Caenorhabditis elegans: one gene and its partners. The protein of the gene in region 1 purifies or fractionates together with the protein of each later gene. This does not show direct contact. Each region holds a gene or a part of one and is shown in the gene's direction. Other genes may lie near its edges. The genes, in order: aipl-1, npr-22, hmgs-1 and cap-2.

Region 1 (4,729 bases):
TCGCGATAAAGCTTTCGTCGGTGCTGTTGTGACGTTTGTAATGTCTTTCAGTGGAGTTGCAGTTATCAGTGCTTTTGCTTTTGAGATTCTAGTAAATACTGGTTTGAACGTTTTGCAAGCATCACTGGCAAATGACGCAACCACGATTGTTAGTGTGGTAAGTAACAGACCCGAGTAGGCACAAAATAGGCAGGCAGATAGGCAGAAAAAAGGTAGTTAATTTAAAGAGTTATAAGCCGTCAAAGTAGAGCAGTTGGGTATAAGTCTAATAAAGAAAATATGATAAACATGGTAAGTTAGATTTTTTTTGCTCACAATGAATTTAACCGTTCTAATAAAACTTCTGTACAAAAAAAAATAATTTTTAATATTTCATAGATCTCATCAGTACTTGCCATTGCAATAATTGATAAAAACGGACGACGCCCACTACTTCTCATTTCACTTGCAGGAATTCTGATTTGCAACTTGATAATATTCGGATTAATGTTCACTTTTGATAAGTTTGGGGTATGAAATATAATTATACCATTACCCTCTAAATCCTACCAAATCTCAGAACCAAGTTCTCGGCTTCATTCTCATTTTCTTTATCTGCATTTTTCAATTTTTCTTCGCTCTAGGCCCGGGTCCATTAAGTTATTTTATCAATGCAGAACTTGTTGGTCAAGATGCTCGAAGTGCAGCACAAAGTTGGGCAAGCGTGGTACAAATGATCTCGTGAGTCGGTGGTGACATTAAATCTTCAAACAAAAGCTTTCAGACAATTTTCAATTATCACTGCATTCCTGCCCATGAAAAATCAACTCGGAGAAGCCTGGTCCTATTTGATTCTTTTTGTTGCTCCGGTGGCAGTATCTCTGGTTTTCCTGTATTTTTCACTTCCAGAGACCAAGAATAAAAGTCCAATTGAGGTGATTAAGAACGTGACGTATAATTTTAAAGAAACAAGGGTCTTGCAAAGATCGCGCTGAAACCCATTTTTTAATTATTTTTAATTAAGTATAAAAATTTCAAATTTCCAGGTGGAAGAAGCCATTGAGGAATTACCAAAGTTGCCATTATGCCGATCAACTCGTTCGAATTCAATCAAACCTATTTAATAGTTTCATGGTATTTATAATTTCCTATTTCATCGATGATCTTCTGCCTTAACATAAAATATGAATCATGATTGTTTTTCAACAGTTTTGCGTTTGGTCTTTAAACTCGCGATCCTCGTGGTCATTCCTCATATTCAATATTTAACATTGTTACTTTTTTTTTGTTTTAACGGCTTCAAATATGATATTTTTCTCAATCTTTTGTGATGATAACATTCTTAATTGTGGAAAATTAATGTTCATATACTTTTTGCCGAAAGTTCCTTTCTACTAAAAATTCACACCAGTGGTGACTACATTCAAACACGCTCTGTTGCTACGCGAGAGAGATTCGAGACGACAGAGAAACGGGCGCTAATGAAATATTTTCAATCTTTTTTCCATTAATTTTCCCATTTTTTTTCGATTTCACGCGACAATTGTTTAATTTTATTTAAAAATCCGAATTTTAATTCATTACTAATTTCTCAGAATGTCGGAATTCTCGCAAACCGCCGTATTTCCATCATTGCCACGGGCTGCCAGAGGAGTTCCTGTTATTCTGGGTGAGTAAGACGCGGGAATAGGGGTGGCGATAGGTCGCAACAGGGCGCCCTGGCTATTTCACAGCACCTTCACGAACAATCCAATCAGAATTTTGAAGATGAAAATTAAATTAGCATGGTTTACTTACTCGAATTTTCTTTCGAGGTCGAAACTTGATACATTAAGGTCGCTAGTAGGGGTGGCGTTAGGTCGCAACAAGGCACCCTATCGCCACCCCTACGCGGGAAAACGAAATAATTGTCTCATTTTCAGGTAGCTCTCCAGCCGGCGATAAAATCCTTTATTGCAATGGGAATTCGGTCTTCACAATTCCCATCGACAGCCTCAACTCTGCCGATATCTACACAGAGCATGCTCACCAGACAACAGTCGCCAAAATATCTCCGACAGGCTTCTATTGTGCTTCTGGCGATACTCAGGGAAATATTCGGATCTGGGATACTACTCAATCAACTCACATTCTTAAACATACCATCCCAGTTTTCTCTGGACCAGTAAAAGACATCGCATGGGACAGTGAGAGCAAAAGAATTGCGGCGGTCGGCGAAGGAAAGGAACGATTCGGGCACGTATTCCTTCTTGATACTACAACATCAAACGGAAGTTTGACAGGACAAAGTCGGACCATGAACAGTGTGGATTTTAAGCCAACGCGCCCGTTTCGTATCATTTCTGGATCAGATGATAATACCGTTGCTATCTTCGAAGGCCCTCCATTCAAGTTCAAGCATGTTAGTATTATATCGCCTGAATTAGTAAACTATATTTAAATCCTTTTTTTCAGACTTTTGACCACCACAAAAAGTTCGTTCAGTCTACCAGATACAACAATGATGGCTCGCTCTTTGCCTCAACGGGAAGCGATGGAACTGTCGTTTTGTACAATGGAGTTGACGGAGAAAAAGTCGGAGTTCTCGAAGATGCCAAGGGAGTCGCCCACACAGGAAGCATATTTGCTTTAGCCTGGTCTCCGGATCAATCAAGAATTGCTACAGCTTCAGCTGACAAGTCTGTGAAAATCTGGGATGTTTCTGCAAGAAAGCTGGAGAGAACTATTGTGATGGGATCGAAGATCGAGGATCAACAGCTTGGAATTGTCTGGACAAAGAGTGCGCTGATCACGGTATCTGTCAGTGGATTCCTGAATTTCTTGAATCCAGACGATGGAAGCGTCGAAAAAATTCGTCAGGGACATAATAAAGCGATTACAGCTCTTTCGAAGAGCTCTGATGGGAAATTCTTGTTCAGTGCCGATGCGGAAGGCCATATTAGTGAGTGAAGTTGGGATTACTTGACCGAGGTTTCACAATATGCTAAAATTAACGTGCCAATTTTAGCTGAAATAGTCAATTTTCCCTACCTTTCCGTGCTATAGCGGTCTGAATTAGATTTTATCGAAATATCCTTTCTTGCATAAACTACCAAAATATGCATGAAAATATTGTAATTAAATGAAAGCTAATTTCCGACAGCTGCGACACGAAAATGTTGGACAAATTGATGATTTTTGCTGAAATTAGCTTTTTTTTTCAATTCGAGCACATTTTGGGTCTATACGAGCAAAATACACACCTTAATGAATAACAAGTTTTTCTTTATTTCAGCTACCTGGGAAATTTCAAGCGGAACTTCTTCTCGAAAATCTCCACATACCACAATGATTACTGGTGCCCAGACGTCTTCCAATGGCGACTTATTCACTGTTGGTTGGGATGATCAATTGAAGATTACTGATGGATCCGGAGACACGAAAAGCTTCAAATTGCCGTCTCAACCATGTGGACTAGAAGTTTCTGATGACTTGGCAATTGTTGCATGTTACAAGCACGTCGTCGTTCTGTCACGGGGAACGCCAACGGAAAATCCAATTGAATTCCATTCGACTTGTGTGGCGTTTTGTGCGGAGAAAAGTCTGGTGGCCGTTGGTGGAAAAGATGCGAAGGTTCATGTGTACAAACTGAATGGAGATGGACGGCTCGAGGAGTTGAAGAAGATTGAGCACAGTGCGGAAATCACCGCTGTCTCATTTTCCGACGATGGGGAATATCTAGCGGTCACTGATTTGGCTCGAAAGGTGATTCCCTACTCTGTCTCCACGGATTTTTCCGTCACCTCTCCAAACTCGTGGACTTTCCATACTTCGAAAGTACTGACAGTCGCATGGTCCCCTGACAATCAACGTCTTGCCACTGGCTCCATCGACACCAGTGTCATTATCTGGGACATGAAGAAGCCAGGCGAACATCCGGTTATTATTAAAGGTAATATTGAAATTGTCTTGCTAGTATATGAATAACGTTTTCAGGAGCCCATCCAATGTCATCTGTGAATGTGGTCCGCTGGCTCGATGAGACTACGGTGGTGTCTGCTGGACAAGACTCGAACATCAAATTTTGGAATGTTCCACTCTAGTTTTCATGTTTATATGTTTAAAATTGCATAATTTATTTTTGATTACCTATTTTTCTGCCAAAAGATGCACGTGATTTAACAATTTTTATTTACAATTCGAATGAAATTTCAATGAAGGCTTTTGGAACAAAAAAAAAATTTAAAATAAAATAAGGGAATCTATAGAACTTACAATTAGTCATAAAAACAGTATAATTAATAGTTTTAACAACAGTATCAATCCGTGCAAACTACGTTCATATCAATTAGTATGAGAACTGTTTCCCAAATACATTGTTCTACATGTGGAGACCAATCTGATACGACCAATTGATAAGAGTTTTCCCACGGTGATAAGATAGTTTAAGTTGAGACATTATCCACCCAGAAAGTGAAAGATGACTCATTTGAAATGAGAAATGTGAGTGAATATATAAAAAATAACCTTCTCGAAATTGATGACCACTTTACCTTTTTCAAAAAATGAATCGAACGACTGTTATCACTTTTGGAATATATTCAAGAGATGATATTCCAGCTATTTTGAACGGAAATTTTCGAGATAATAACAGCAACATCGAAGATGATCGCAATAAGTTGATGAAAATCAACTTCCGAGCTCGCCACATTCCATATTTCTTCACTGGATTCCTAATTGGAATATTTTTCACTTTTCTGGCAACTTTTCA
Region 2 (6,175 bases), on another chromosome or scaffold:
GCCAAAATGTTCAAATACAACTTTTCAAAATAAAAAGTGTGAAAATTTTTATTGACAGTTTAAAAGTGGCAATTACTGAGTTTTTGCCACTTTTTGCCATAGACGACTTCCAAAAAGCGAAGACTTTTCCAAAGTTTTGAAGCTTACTTGACATGAATGTTTTCTTATTTTCAGTCAACTTTATCTTGTTTTTTTCACAACATCGCACTACATCCAGACACATTTCTGTTGACTCAATATTAATTATTTATTATTTATTATTCATTTTGCAAGGATGTGGTGTTCTTATTCCTATTTTTATATACTTCTCCTTTTTCTTTCAGAAATTCTAGAAATTATTTTTATGCTAATTGAGATGTACATTTGAGACATTTTCATGCCGTGATGACGTAATCTATCTGAATCTTGAGATATCTATGTACATTCTTGCTAATAACGTGAAAGGTGTCATATGTACTGAGGTCTACCTTATCATTTCCTGATTATAACATCATTGAAACATATTTTAGACATATTTTAATAAATTTCAGTTTTTTTTTGTCCTATCTGGTCAATAGTTTTTTCTACAAAAAAATAGACAAATAAGAATTAAATTCAGCTAAAATTATTGAGATATAGTGTTGAAGAATACGATAAAACGACGGTAATCTTTCATTCGATTAAATTCTAGAAACCAATCGCGTATCCAAAATCTTAAATTTTTATAATTAACAGTTAGCTAGAGTTTCTTTATTGGAACATACAATTAGCACAATACAATTGGAAAACTTCGGTTTAAAGAATCTGTAACAATTTTCTTTTACTTGATTTTGTTCAAGTTTCTCAAGTTTTAGCACGTGCTCTAACCCTGCAATAAAAGTTTGTACTTTATTCAAGTATTCATATTGTACTTGTACTCTATCGTATGATCATATTACTCATGTCTAAAACTTCGGTAGACACGCATTTTTCCAACATTTTTCTTCCATAAATTCCTGTTATCTTGCAAAGTTCATTTGTAAACTAATACAACACATGTCTGGCTGATTTGACCTTTCTCATTGAAATTGATGGATCATGTGTCAAAATGGGACCACTACAGATCACTAGATACTACTATCACTATATCACTATTTAAACATGGCAGATTTCAAGAAAGTTTGCCACATTTTCAGATGAAATCATCTTATTAATTTTGATTTCGAAAACAGATATTAGCAGCCTACCTTCTGGATTTTTCGGTTACAATGTACCTATTTATTAATCAAAAACTATCACTTCTGCATTTTGTAATCATTCCCCAATCATCCTTGTGCGAAAAATAGGATAGTTCTTCAAGTTTTTCCCTTCCCTATACTTTTGCCATATATTTTTTTAATTCCCACTGGACTTTCCCAAAAGAATTATTTTTCGAATATACCACACTTTTAACAAATTTTCTGGATTCGGAAACATTATATTTTTTTTTCTACAAAACCGCAAAGACTATAGTCATTTTTCGAGGTCAACAAACATCCAAATATCATTGCGAGCATCCTATGTTCCTCTAATTCTCTCATACTTTGCTTCCGAAAACCCAAGAATCACAAAAAAATCTTGTTTGATCTTTGCCTTATTTTTCCAACTGCTAATTGACCTTCTTCGTTTATATAATTTTTCACTTTATAGAAATTTACTTTTTAATCAATTTCAAACAACAAAATTTGATACACTTTCTTAATATTATCCTTCTCCTACATTCTCATAAATTTGAAGGTTTCTCTTTCAACATTTCTGATCTAAAAAATGTGCGAGAAAATACATTCTTGGTTTCTTCATATTCATTTATTTCTCCGAAATATGTTCTCTTTTTCTTTGTTTTTAATTTTCGGTTTTCTATGAACAAGTGGTCTTCCTTATTTGGAACACTTCCCCAAACTCTTTCCGAATAAATTGTTTTAAATTTCAGATCGAACGATTCGTCATCTAATTCGTGAGCAAATATGGACGAAGGAGGGGGTATTGGAAGCAGTTTGCTCTCCAGAATCACGACGACAGCCTCTGAAATTATGATGCGAAACGAACCGACGACAACTGAAAATCCAGCTGTTCAAGAAATGAATCATATTTATCATTTGACACCAAGTATGAAGGTGAGACTTTTAAAAAATATTCTTATACATTCAAAGTATATCTAAAAATCCAAATTTTACAAGAGTTTTGAAACTTTGAAAAAAGGAACTAAAATTAGTTTTTTTTACATTTCATATTTAGGCAATTTGGCCATGTTTTTAGCCAATTTTACCTGCTGAAAATTGATTTTAACGTGCCATGTACTTTTATTTTAGTTAATTTATGATAGCGTTTTCTTCAAAACTTGAACCGTAAATAAAAAGTTTTGAAAATTTTTCAAGTGCTATCATTATTAAAATTCGGTATAATTTTTAGAGGCCATTTTAAGTGTAAAAAATGAATAAAATTACTACATTATTACCTTTAATATTTGTACCTATTTATTACTAATTTTTTACAGATGTTATGTATTCTTTTCTATAGTATACTTTGCGTATGCTGTGTCTATGGAAATGTGCTCGTTATTCTGGTTATTGTTTATTTTAAACGACTTCGAACGGCGACTAATATTTTGATATTGAACTTGGCAGTTGGTGGGTTTTGTTACTTTTGAATTTTTGAAAACTTTTTATAATTTTTCAAATCTCCAGAACTTATATGAGCTTCTAAATGGATAAGTTTAAAAAATTAATTAATCTAAGATGTTGAGCAAATTTCCCAAAAAAACAACTAAAATTGCAGCTGATCTTCTCATATCAGTATTCTGCATTCCGTTCAGCTATTGGCAAGTATTGATTTATGATGATCAACGTTGGCTCTTCGGCTCAATGATGTGCTCTTTATTAGCATTCCTTCAAGCAATGGCTGTATTTTTATCAGCTTGGACACTTGTCGTTATCAGTTTTGATCGGTGGATGGCTATAATGTTCCTTTTAACTCCAAATATTCGAATTACAAGACGAAGAGCTCTTTATCTGGTAGCTGCCACGTGGATATTCAGTATCCTAATGGCGTTGCCGTTACTCTTCACAACGAGATTTTTCGAAGACCAAGACGGTTTACCGAATTGTGGAGAAAATTGGACGTATTTTGGAGATTCTGGAGAACAAGTGAGAAAAGTGTATTCTTCAATGGTCTTAATTCTACAATATGTTGTACCTCAAGCAGTTTTAATAATAACTTACACACATATTGGAATTAAAATGTGGAATAGTCGAGTACCAGGAATGCAGAATGGAGCAACAAAGAAAATGATCGTTGATCGACATGAAAGTGTCAAAAAGGTGAGATTTCTGGAATTATTAAAAATTTAAGCCTAACCTTTCAAAAACTCCCAGTTTTGATTTATTAGAATAATAAGAATATGGAAATAATGCAACAATCAATGGCTCCTCAGTGCGGTGATGATAATAATAACCATAATCAAAGTCAACCGACCCCTATATTTATAGGAACAATATTCTCATGTGTAGCATAAAAATAATAATCAAAAATCGTTTTTGACATAACCTTTTCCAAATCATTATTAAGTGAAACTTTAAAATTGAAAAAAATTAAATCAAAGTTCGAAGTTATTACATTTTACCTGCCTATTACATGACGGTTTGATAAAGTTGTTCAGTAGATTGAAATATCGTTTTTACTTATTTTTATCAAATACAATAAATATTACCGCGTGAGAAACGAAACCTGTTAATTAAATAAGATTTTTAGCTGGTCCCAATGGTGATTCTCATTTCGGCACTCTTCGCACTTTGTTGGCTTCCTTTACTTATACTGATCAACGTCATTCCAGAATTCTATCCAGATATCAACAGTTGGGGATATATTCTGTATTTGTGGTAAGAAATATTCTTTTAATCTGACTCAATAATTTGGTTTTAAAAATCGCATTTTGAGGTGGTTTGCTCATGGACTTGCCATGTCTCATTCAATGGTCAACCCAATTATCTATTTCATTCGAAATGCCCGTTTCCGTGAAGGATTCTGTTTCTTCTCTTCAAAACTTCTTCCATGTATATCATTTAAAGAACTTCGTCTTTTAACTGATAATACTAGCAGAAGGTATGTCAATTTCTACAAAGTTGTCTGTTTTTGAATTGAAGCCAAGAGTTAGGAGCAATTCAGTTTATTTATGTATCAACCTTATTTGTTGATAACCAGTTTGATAATTTTAATAACTCAACAATATCATTCAGTTTTCGAAACCGTTCACGGTTTTCTGGTGTCATAAATCCGACTTCAAGCGATGAAAAACCTGCTGTAAGGATGTTCTCTAACCCATGTTTTTTGTCCTTCTTGACTTTTTGTTTGGCTTGGCTTTTTTATTTTTACATTTTAAAGTTTATTTTGCACTGCTTCACATGCACTAATATGTTGATTAAGTTAATTTCATTTTAAATTATGAGTATATCGTATTTCCTCTTTTAGTATTGCACACCATTGTTCAACTTTGACAGTGTATATCTCAGTTATCATTTGTTCCATTTAAAAATTGTCAACTAACAAAATATTTTTTAGTTCTTTTTCTATAATTTCGTAGTTAAAGATATAATGATATATTCAAAATAAACCGATATATAACGTTACAAAGTAAAGTTGTCCGGTGCATTACTAAGAGAGGAAATACGGTACGTTAAATTAGCAAAATTAAAAATCTTCTAAGTCAGCCTAGGTCGTTCAGCGCAGTTAATTTGCGATGGACCCATCAGAATCCTAGAGCAGTGATTTATCTACACATCGTCAAAAAAATCGGACATTGCGCATACTGCGACTCGTAAGCTGCCTATAATGAGCACATTGAGCCAGGATTGCTATGAAATCATTGTGCTTGTTTACTGAGTCATTATGTGCCTGTCGCGAATTAACTGCGAACTAAATTTTGCCACCAAATGATAGAGGGAAAACCCCTACTACTGAGAAAGTGTTTGCCGATGAAGTTTAGCGAAACCTAGAACCATAAGAACTTGTAAGTAAAACTTTAAAAACAGTTTTTAAATTCAAATGCTTTACTTCTAAACCCTTTTTATTAATTAAACGCCTCAATTATATCCACTGCCTAGTACACATTTTCCAATCTGATTATTTCCACAACATCGACTTTCTTCCTAGCCACAACCTAATTTTCAATATTTTCAGACATCGCTTACGAGATATTCACGAAGTGGAGTCCTTGACAGGCAAACATGTCGTTCGGCACGTTTCTTCGAAGCCCGACCACTCGTCGTCGTCCGAAACAACTCTGCCAATTCTCTCGCGTAGCTTTTCCCGTATCATTAAGAAAATTGATCTACCATGTACTTGAGTGGAAAGCTATAGAAGACCATAGATTCAAGGTTTTTGTTATTTGAAATTGTATTTTAAAGCATAATTTCACAAATTATGTTTATATTCCATCCATTTTATTGTATTGTAAGAAAAAACCCCTCAGATCTCCTAAGAAACAATTTTATATGAAACATCAATTGTTGTCTGAAACGCTTTTCATACCGGTAAATACTCGCCCCACCAAATCCACGAATCATCACCAATATTTTAAACTTGTACCATACAAATTGCGTGTTTTCATTTTATTTGAATATTTTTTCAAAACTAAATGTAGAAATAAATGTTAGAATACTACAAATTTACATCTGACAGATTTAAAAGAATCCAATGAGTTGACTGAAATTTTGTAAACTGGCAAATTACTGAGCAATTCAGATAAATATTTGATTGATTTCGGTTTCAAGCTTGTAGTTCCACGTGTGAAGGTTTATTTACAGAGATTCGGCATTTGTCTATTTTTAGAAGGGATGCATTTTCCGTGAATTGTATGCAAGTATTTTATTAAAGAAAAATGAAATAAGCAGTCTTGATAGGCAGACACTTATATTTAAAGTATATAGTCACTCCAGAAAACAGACAAGAAAACAATCAAAGTGAACAATTTTTATGCATTTTCATTCAATCTTTATTCTTCAATTTTCTCATACACTTCACAAAAGTAAAGCATATGAAAACCAAAAAACACAAAACACCGTCAGCGACTTGTTGTATGCAGAAATAAATCAGAAATGATTGTCACTTATCCCTTTGTGTTGAGATGTTGTGGCGCCTTGTAAGCCAACTCGTGGACTCCTCCATTGTACAGCTTGGCAACGAT
Region 3 (4,102 bases), 9.5 Mb from region 1:
CCATCGCTTCAATACATGATTATCTATCGAGGAGCATATTATGGTCTGTTCGATACAACGGCTCCATATATGAATAGTGACGGAAAGATGACATTTACTGAAGCATTTCTTGTTGGACAAGTCGTCACTCTGATCGCTGCAATGACATCTTATCCACTGGATACTGTAAGAAGACGACTGATGATGGGTGCTGGAAAGAAGACGTTACCGTTCAATAACACAATATCCTGCATCAAAGTAAGATCATTTAATTGCTTCTCGGACAAAGATTTATTTATTTTCAGTACATTTACACGAAGGAAGGACCCAAGGCATTTTTCCATGGAGCCCTGGTGAACGCGATTCGTGGAACTGGTGCAGCATTGGTTCTGGCGATTTACAATGAACTTCAGAAGTACATGTGACAACCTTCCATAATATAGATAATCTTTAAAATTTCTAGTGCATTCTCTTATTTGTTCGAAAATCAGGCTCTTTTAGAAATACGTGTAAATTTGTATGTTGAAGCCTGTGCCCATTGTTTTCTGTTATGATAACGAAGAAAAGCTTTTTTTGAATCATTTTTTTTATTCAGTAACAAAACAAGATCACTGATCCACAGTTATATATGATCCATTGATTGTGCGTTCACCGGAAAGAAGAATTCCTTTCGTTGATGTTGGAGCAGATGGTGATTTGATAGTGAGCACCGCCTGAATTTCAACAATAACTAATGAACGACAATATTGCAGATTTCACGAACCTTTGCTGATGCATCTTTTCCAAAACCATGGCTTACTGGCGACATCTGGACAAATACGTGGCAGCGGGGTTTCAGAATATCCACAGCATTCGAATGGATAGAGAAAGAAGCGAGAAGAAGCGCATTTTCTTGTGATAACGTCTTTAAATGTGTGTAGATTTTGTGCACGAAAATGGTAGTTTCAACTGAAGTTGCTCCAAATTGCTCCAATATTGAAAGATCATCGAAGAGAATAACTGACGCAGAGGAATCAATTAATTTCTGAAAAATTTTGAGTTAAACAATTTTTATTCGAAAAAAGATATATGCTGAAATACCTTGTACAACTCGTCCATAATTTGTTCAGAGGTGATATCAAATAATTCGAATGGTTTCAAGAAATCGTAGAAACTAATTTGAGTGGGATTCCATCGAACTCCAGCCTTCGAACAAATCAGTCTATAACAATTAGTTTTACTTTCCATTTTATAAAGATTTACTCACTTGTAATTTGTTTCAGACAATTTGGTCGAAACAATAGCGACTTTTTGACTTGAAGTCGAAGCTGTAGAAAGGAAATGAAGAACAAATGGGAGTGACGACGCGTTATCCACTTCTTCACATACAATCAAGCCCTTAATTGACTCTTCTTGTCCTTTTAGAATTTTCAGCATTTTTTCTTTTTCTGAAAAATGTTTTTTTGTATGAAATCAAATGAAGAAAACGAAGTTTTGCAGAAAAATGAAAATGATACAATTTTAGTTTGTCCGAGAGGAGTACAAATGACTCGTAAATCGGTTTCCCCTCCCTTGGGTCTCGCAGGGAAGAGCCGTTGCCTCGACGACATTTACGGGCATTTTGATATTTCAAAACTGTTTTTTTGGCAAATTTGCATAATGAACACTTTTCGTCGATAAATCATCGTTTTTTGTGATTTTTTGCAATTCACATTTAAAAAAGAGTTTATTGCAGGCATGAGCTTGGGTCAATTGTCATATACACCAGTGACGGATGTTGGAATTGGAGCAATTGAGTTGTATTTTCCCCAGAACTTTGTCGATCAAAATGATTTAGAAAAGGTATTAATACCATTATTTCTTCAATATTGATTCCTAAATTGCAGTTTAACAATGTATCCAGCGGAAAATACACAATTGGACTGGGGCAACAGCAAATGGGATTCTGCTCGGACAACGAGGACATCGTATCCATCTCCCTTACAGTCACAAGGAAACTTATTGAAACTTACAAAGTAATATTCGCTATCAAAGTACTTAGTTTCCTCAGTTTCAGTGTGTTTAGATCTCGACTGATTCGATTGGCTGTTTGGTTGTAGGTACCGAAACAATGATCGACAAGAGCAAAAGTGTGAAGACAGCTTTAATGGACTTATTTCCTGGAAATTCGGATATTGAAGGAGTCGACATCAAAAATGCCTGCTTTGGAGGCGCACAAGTGAGTTTTTTGTCTCTCAAAATAGAATCTTCAATTATATTTTCAGGCACTGCTGCACGCTATCGATTGGGTCACAGTGAATCATCCGCTTGATAAGAAAAACGCAATTGTAGTAGTCGCGGATATTGCAATATATGAAGAAGGTCCAGCGAGATGTACAGGCGGTGCAGGAGCGATTGCTTTTCTTATTTGTCCAGATGCTTCTATTCCGATTGATCGGCAGTTTTCAGCGTGTCACATGAAAAACACGTGGGATTTCTTTAAGCCAATTAGTAAGCTATTAATTTCTCTATTTACTTTTAAAAAATTAAATTCCAGCGCCGATTCCGAGTGAATACCCCGTTGTCGATGGATCATTATCATTGAGCTCATATTTGGAAGCAGTCAGAATGACATACACATATTTCATATCAAAAGTTAATCGCCATACAACGGGTATCGACGGGCTGAACTCATTTGACGGAGTGTTTCTTCACTCACCGTTCACGAAAATGGTTCAAAAAGGCCTGGCTGTGATGAACTATACTGACTCGCAACTTCGTCACAAGCAATTGTAGGTTGATTAGTTTAGAAAAATTTTCAAATGTTTATTTTATTCAGAAATGGAAATGGTGTCGATCATAAACTCGATGAAAACGATCGCGCTGGACTTGCAAAAATGATCGAATTGTCTGCTCAAGTTTGGAAGGAAAAAACAGATCCATATCTTGTTTTCAACAGGCGAATCGGAAATATGTATACTCCATCACTCTTTGCTCAACTTTTAGCATACTTGGCAGCAGATGATTGGTATGATGAAGAATATACCGATTTTTAGAGCTAATTTTTAAAATTACTTTTCAGCGTCACCGGGGAGAAAAGCATTTTATTCTTCGCCTATGGAAGTGGTCTAGCGTCAGCAATTTTCCCAGGAAGAGTTAGGCAGACATCTAATCTTGATAAAATTCGTCAAGTCGCAATAAGGGCGATTAAAAGGCTCGATGACCGAATTCAGTTTACTCCAGAAGAGTTTACAGAAACATTACAAAAAAGAGAAGTTTTCCTACGATCAAAAGGTGAGTAATTCTAATAGTGATTGGTTTTTAATGTCATTTTGTTTTTCAGAGATTCCAAAATCTCCATCCGAAACTTCATTGTTTCCCAACACTTATTTCCTTGATAACATGGACAAGCTTTATCGCCGATCATATACTTTACACGAGGAACCAAACGGTGTTCAAAACGGGAACGGAATTCATCATTAAAAATGTATCTTTTGTTTTTTTTTTTTTAGTTTTTAATTTTATCACATCGTTTGCCATAGTCTACTTCTTTGTTACTGTTTTTTATTCGCTCATTAGAGTTGTATTTTCTTTTCTTTTTTTTAAATTAAAACGAGTTGTTTTTTTCTGATAATTGATTTTGTTGAACACGTGTACTATTGTCACGACAATATTTTCCATTTCTCGAACGGCTCAATTTAATTTCAAAGTTAAGATGGGAAGAGATCGGTCGTCAAGCTCGGACACAGACGACTACTACCGCTCCAGCAGCAGCAGGTATGCACCGGACTTTTGAACGAAACATGTTTCATTTGGAGGACCATGATGTGAAGCGGTTAAATATAAATTCCAGAACAGCTTGTGGGAAGCTTCGTGAGCCCCACGAAACCACTGCTCTGAGCATCTTCAAAAACTCACCGCAAGCTCGGTTCTGAAATTTCGCCGCTTAAAATTCATATCTCACCGTTCCTGAATTTTTTCACATGAAACATGCCTAGTAAAAAATCCTGATGGCACCATCGGCCCCTCAGAAGTAAACCATCCAAAATTAGAATTTCAGAAAAAGAGAAGATTCACACCGCCGTCGCGACGATCGGCATCGGGACTCGGATCGAGATCGAGATCGACGAAGGAGAAGGTACGATGTGTTCTTAGTTTTGGATTG
Region 4 (3,751 bases), on another chromosome or scaffold:
TGTACTTGGAAAAATTGCAAAATTTTTCAACTAGACCCTAGTTTCCTAGTTTTCCAGCATTTTAGTGTTCGGCTGGGAGAATATAACTACGATTTCGTCGAGGAGAATTTTCTACCAAGAAAATATATTTTCCAGTGAAAAACGCTTATCCCATGAGAAAAACCAAGGAATTCTCACTGAAAATTGTGATAAATAAGACAAAAACTGCCAACAAATATTAAAATATACTCGGTTTTTAGACGAAAACTATCAAGAAACGGCGCAGTAATCCTGAAAATCAGATAGAAAGTTCTAGAAAAGCCGGTATAATCTGAACTCCACGTCAATTAGGTCACCTAGTTTCGATATATCACTGGATTAACGTGAACATTTTTATTTATTTAAAAAGAAAACCCTTCAGGTTACAGGAAAATTAGCTTTTTTTCGCGAAAAAACATGTAATTTGAGCGCCGAAACATATGGTGGAACCCCCCTTGAACAGAAAAGTCGGCATGTGGCTTTAGTGACAACTGATCTTTTGTCTTCAGAGGAAGATATTGTGATTCTAGAGAACTTTGAACTATTTGGAGTCGGAAAAAACAGAATGTAGTTGCGGAGAATGCAATAAAATTGCAATTATTTCTTTTCTTTTATAGTGACGATTTCAGGGAAAATTGTAAAAGCCCTTTGCAGCGATAAAATAATTAAATTCAACGAAAATTCAAAAAAGAAATCCATTAGCAAAGCGGCAAGATCAAAAGAAAAGTACAAGTTCTGACCGTGGAATGTTGACTGTCCTCGTTGATGTCCAACATTGAACTCGATCTTTTCATAGTATGCTCACTGACTTTCGAGACGGCCTTTGTTCTTTTTGCACGCTGAAGCTAGGTTATAATGATTTGAAGTCAATGGAAAGTGGAATTTTTTGGCAATTTATAATGAAAACCTCCTTAAAACGCACGTTTAAACGTTGAAAATGCTTTTTTTCGTTTTTTAACGTTGAAAACCAAATCGGGAGCCAATTTACAGAAATGTGCGCGAATTTTCACCCAGTTTTTCAAAATTTTCACATTTAAATACTCACTTCAGATGGAAGGTTGCGGCAGTGACGTTTACTCTGACGCGCTCCAATTTTGACTCGTTTTGGCTGCAATTACTGAAATAACAAAATTTAGTGGATTCGGTGTTTTCTCGGAGATGAAGCGATGAGAATGTACAGAACACGGATAAACTTGCGATGAAAATTTCATGTCAATTAATTTAAAATTAATTTTTTCGGTTTATTAACATAAAAATTGACGGAAAAAACTTAAATTTAAAAGCTCGAAGAAAAAAACAAAAATTTGAAGAACTCTGGCGAAACGCCAAAAGCTCGCGGGTCTCGCCGCGATTTGCCGACGAGAGTGACTATGGGTACGGTGGAGGGACGAGAGAGTGAGAGAAACGGAGTGTAAAATCAATGAAGTGGTCGCTCCGTTTCGCAACTTTCCTGCTTTCTAATGGCTTTTAAAATATATTTTTGCGAAATTTAATCTTATTTGTGAACTAAAAAATCATTACCCAATCGTTTAGAGTCTTTTTATGTTTTTAATAGGTTGTAACGACTTAAAATCTGACATAAAAGTTTATTGTTTCAGGGAGCACACCCACATCCGGCTCGAAACTATCAAAAATGGTATTTTAATAAATATTTTAAAAACAATTTATAATAAATATTTACCAGGGAGAACAACAGCTCGATTGTGCCCTCGACTTGATGCGAAGACTTCCTCCACAACACTGCGACAAGAATTTGACGGACCTCATCGATCTGTGCCCTCATCTTGTTGATGATCTTCTCAGTATGTTTCCTTTTTAACTAATTTAAAAAAATTCGCTTGATGGTTTTAGGCACTATCGATCAACCGCTGAAAATCGCCGCGGACCGTGAGACCGGCAAACAGTATTTGCTTTGTGACTACAATCGAGATGGCGATAGCTACAGGTATGAGTCATTTTATTTGAAATCTATCGATTTTTTCTGATAATTCAGATCACCATGGAGTAATACCTATGATCCACCACTCGAGGATGGACAATTGCCATCGGAAAAGCGCAGAAAAATGGAAATCGAGGCAAATGCCGCTTTTGAGTCATACCGTGATTTGTAAGTTGACAGAAAAATCATATATTTGCTCATAAATAATAATAATTTCCAGATACTTCGAGGGAGGCGTCTCATCAGTTTACTTCTGGGACTTGGATAATGGAGGTTTCGCCGGAATTGTGCTCATCAAGAAAGAGGGAGACGGAGCCAAAAATATAACAGGATGTTGGGATTCTATTCACGTTATTGAGATCACGGAAAGAGTTGGTTCAAAAACTGTTGAAGAGTTTTTTTTTTTAATTTATAATTTTCCAGGCACGCCAGGCTCACTACAAGCTCACCTCCACTATCATGCTGTGGCTGCAGACAAACAAAAGCTCCAGCGGTGTGATGAACCTCGGTGGCTCCCTTACAAGACAGGTTTTGGTTTCGAGTTGTGAATATATTTAAAAAGAAATATTATAGCATGAGATGGATGCACCAATCAACGATCAGAACACACACTTGGCTAATATGGGACGAATGATTGAGGATCAGGAGTCGAAAATGCGTCTGACGATCAATGAGATATACTTTGGAAAGACGAAGAAGGTAAGCAAAATGCAAATTTATTATATGAAAAAAGTTTCATTTTTAAAAAGTACAATTTTCGAAAAAAATATTTTCCAGGTGATGTCGGATCTCCGTTCAACAGAGAAGCAGAGTGAGCTCGAGAAGCAAGATGAGATCGTTCGCGAGTTGAACAACGCCATGGCTAACCGCGGAAACTGAGTGATCTATCTACATTTGCAGCTCAAAATCTCTCATTTTAATGCTTTATTTGCGAGTTTTGTATATTTATCTACCATAATACCAGCTTGTTTCTTCTTTTAAAACCTTTTTTCATTGCCTTTTCTCGAGTGTAAACTTTTTTTCTAGAATTATTAAAATCTCTTTTCCCACAATTTCTCCTCGCTCCAAAGTGTATGTGCTATGGCTTTTCCACAATTTATTACCAAAATGCCTTGATGTTCCTTCCGAGAAGAGCTTGAGCTTTTCCTGGACCATTTTCGTTCTAGGTGCTCGTTCGACTGTTTTGTATTTTGCAATGTAAATTATCCTCTTTAAGATTACTTTTCATTTCAATTATATTTTCGATGAAAGTATTTTATTCCTTAAATTTAAAAAAAAAGAGAGGGTCTTCATCACCACTTTGAGAAATCTCCAAGGCCTGCTCTTGCAAATTTAGTTTTCTTTGCGGCCTCCAAGGGTACATCTTCCATTTTTCCTTGTCGTTTATTCACAGCTGCGGCCGACTTCATGTACTTGCCGACTCCAGTTCCAACTGCTTCTGGTTTTGTTGCAGTTTCTTTAGCTTTTTTATTTGCTAATGAAGCTGCGTCCTTAGAAGCTGAAAATAGATATCATTAGTTTTAAAATTAGTAATAGAATTAAGAAACTTTTCTTCAAAATCTCTGCTCTCTCAGCTTGAACTTCTTTCTCAGCTTCTTCAAATGGATCCACAAATACTTCAGCTCTCATAATAACAACTGAAACCATCGGAACATCAGTTCCCTCTTCAGTTTCCAACTTTTCAATCGTCGTTAGTGTATCCTGTCCTCCAACAAGTCTCCCAAAAATTGTGTGCTTTCTGTCCAAATACTTGCACGGCCGGAATGTAATGAAGAATTGTGATCCGTTGGTGTT

The links.
Region 2: the proteins of aipl-1 (region 1) and npr-22 fractionate together in Caenorhabditis elegans (co-fractionation; one large-scale study listed by BioGRID). This does not show direct contact.
Region 3: the proteins of aipl-1 (region 1) and hmgs-1 fractionate together in Caenorhabditis elegans (co-fractionation; one large-scale study listed by BioGRID). This does not show direct contact.
Region 4: the proteins of aipl-1 (region 1) and cap-2 fractionate together in Caenorhabditis elegans (co-fractionation; one large-scale study listed by BioGRID). This does not show direct contact.

The regions. Positions count from the first base shown.
Region 1 is NC_003283.11:15,133,647-15,138,375, reverse strand, and holds aipl-1 (Anaphase-promoting complex subunit 4-like WD40 domain-containing protein), read left to right. Parts: upstream 1-1,574; 5' UTR 1,575-1,575; coding exon 1,576-1,648; intron 1,649-1,901; coding exon 1,902-2,380; intron 2,381-2,433; coding exon 2,434-2,920; intron 2,921-3,253; coding exon 3,254-3,910; intron 3,911-3,954; coding exon 3,955-4,061; 3' UTR 4,062-4,178; downstream 4,179-4,729. Other genes in the region: K08F9.1 (Major facilitator superfamily (MFS) profile domain-containing protein), read left to right, coding at 1-157, 379-510, 560-720, 764-914, 1,026-1,103.
Region 2 is NC_003282.8:8,557,507-8,563,681, forward strand, and holds npr-22 (Neuropeptide receptor 22), read left to right. Parts: upstream 1-1,925; 5' UTR 1,926-1,961; coding exon 1,962-2,111; intron 2,112-2,491; coding exon 2,492-2,624; intron 2,625-2,772; coding exon 2,773-3,314; intron 3,315-3,744; coding exon 3,745-3,872; intron 3,873-3,930; coding exon 3,931-4,095; intron 4,096-4,229; coding exon 4,230-4,293; intron 4,294-5,169; coding exon 5,170-5,292; coding exon of another isoform or gene 5,293-5,335; 3' UTR 5,336-5,655; downstream 5,656-6,175. Other genes in the region: mpst-6 (thiosulfate sulfurtransferase), read right to left, coding at 6,098-6,175. UniProt on the Caenorhabditis elegans protein: Receptor for the LURY-1-1 and LURY-1-2 peptides which control food-related processes including feeding, lifespan, egg-laying and roaming behavior. Receptor for flp-7 which stimulates serotonin-induced fat loss.
Region 3 is NC_003283.11:5,682,181-5,686,282, reverse strand, and holds hmgs-1 (Hydroxymethylglutaryl-CoA synthase), read left to right. Parts: upstream 1-1,693; 5' UTR 1,694-1,695; coding exon 1,696-1,800; intron 1,801-1,844; coding exon 1,845-1,973; intron 1,974-2,023; coding exon 2,024-2,176; intron 2,177-2,222; coding exon 2,223-2,448; intron 2,449-2,494; coding exon 2,495-2,729; intron 2,730-2,776; coding exon 2,777-2,965; intron 2,966-3,019; coding exon 3,020-3,231; intron 3,232-3,280; coding exon 3,281-3,420; 3' UTR 3,421-3,562; downstream 3,563-4,102. Other genes in the region: F25B4.7 (ADP/ATP translocase), read left to right, coding at 1-237, 285-404; F25B4.4 (Elongator complex protein 6), read right to left, coding at 588-692, 743-1,003, 1,060-1,180, 1,226-1,395; prp-39 (Pre-mRNA-processing factor 39), read left to right, coding at 3,653-3,714, 3,998-4,075. UniProt on the Caenorhabditis elegans protein: This enzyme condenses acetyl-CoA with acetoacetyl-CoA to form HMG-CoA, which is the substrate for HMG-CoA reductase.
Region 4 is NC_003280.10:10,867,580-10,871,330, forward strand, and holds cap-2 (F-actin-capping protein subunit beta), read left to right. Parts: upstream 1-1,616; 5' UTR 1,617-1,651; coding exon 1,652-1,654; intron 1,655-1,702; coding exon 1,703-1,820; intron 1,821-1,869; coding exon 1,870-1,963; intron 1,964-2,011; coding exon 2,012-2,125; intron 2,126-2,177; coding exon 2,178-2,328; intron 2,329-2,380; coding exon 2,381-2,485; intron 2,486-2,530; coding exon 2,531-2,656; intron 2,657-2,734; coding exon 2,735-2,836; 3' UTR 2,837-3,248; downstream 3,249-3,751. Other genes in the region: gmps-1 (putative GMP synthase [glutamine-hydrolyzing]), read right to left, coding at 759-812; cyn-4 (Peptidyl-prolyl cis-trans isomerase 4), read right to left, coding at 3,250-3,455, 3,505-3,751. UniProt on the Caenorhabditis elegans protein: F-actin-capping proteins bind in a Ca(2+)-independent manner to the fast growing ends of actin filaments (barbed end) thereby blocking the exchange of subunits at these ends.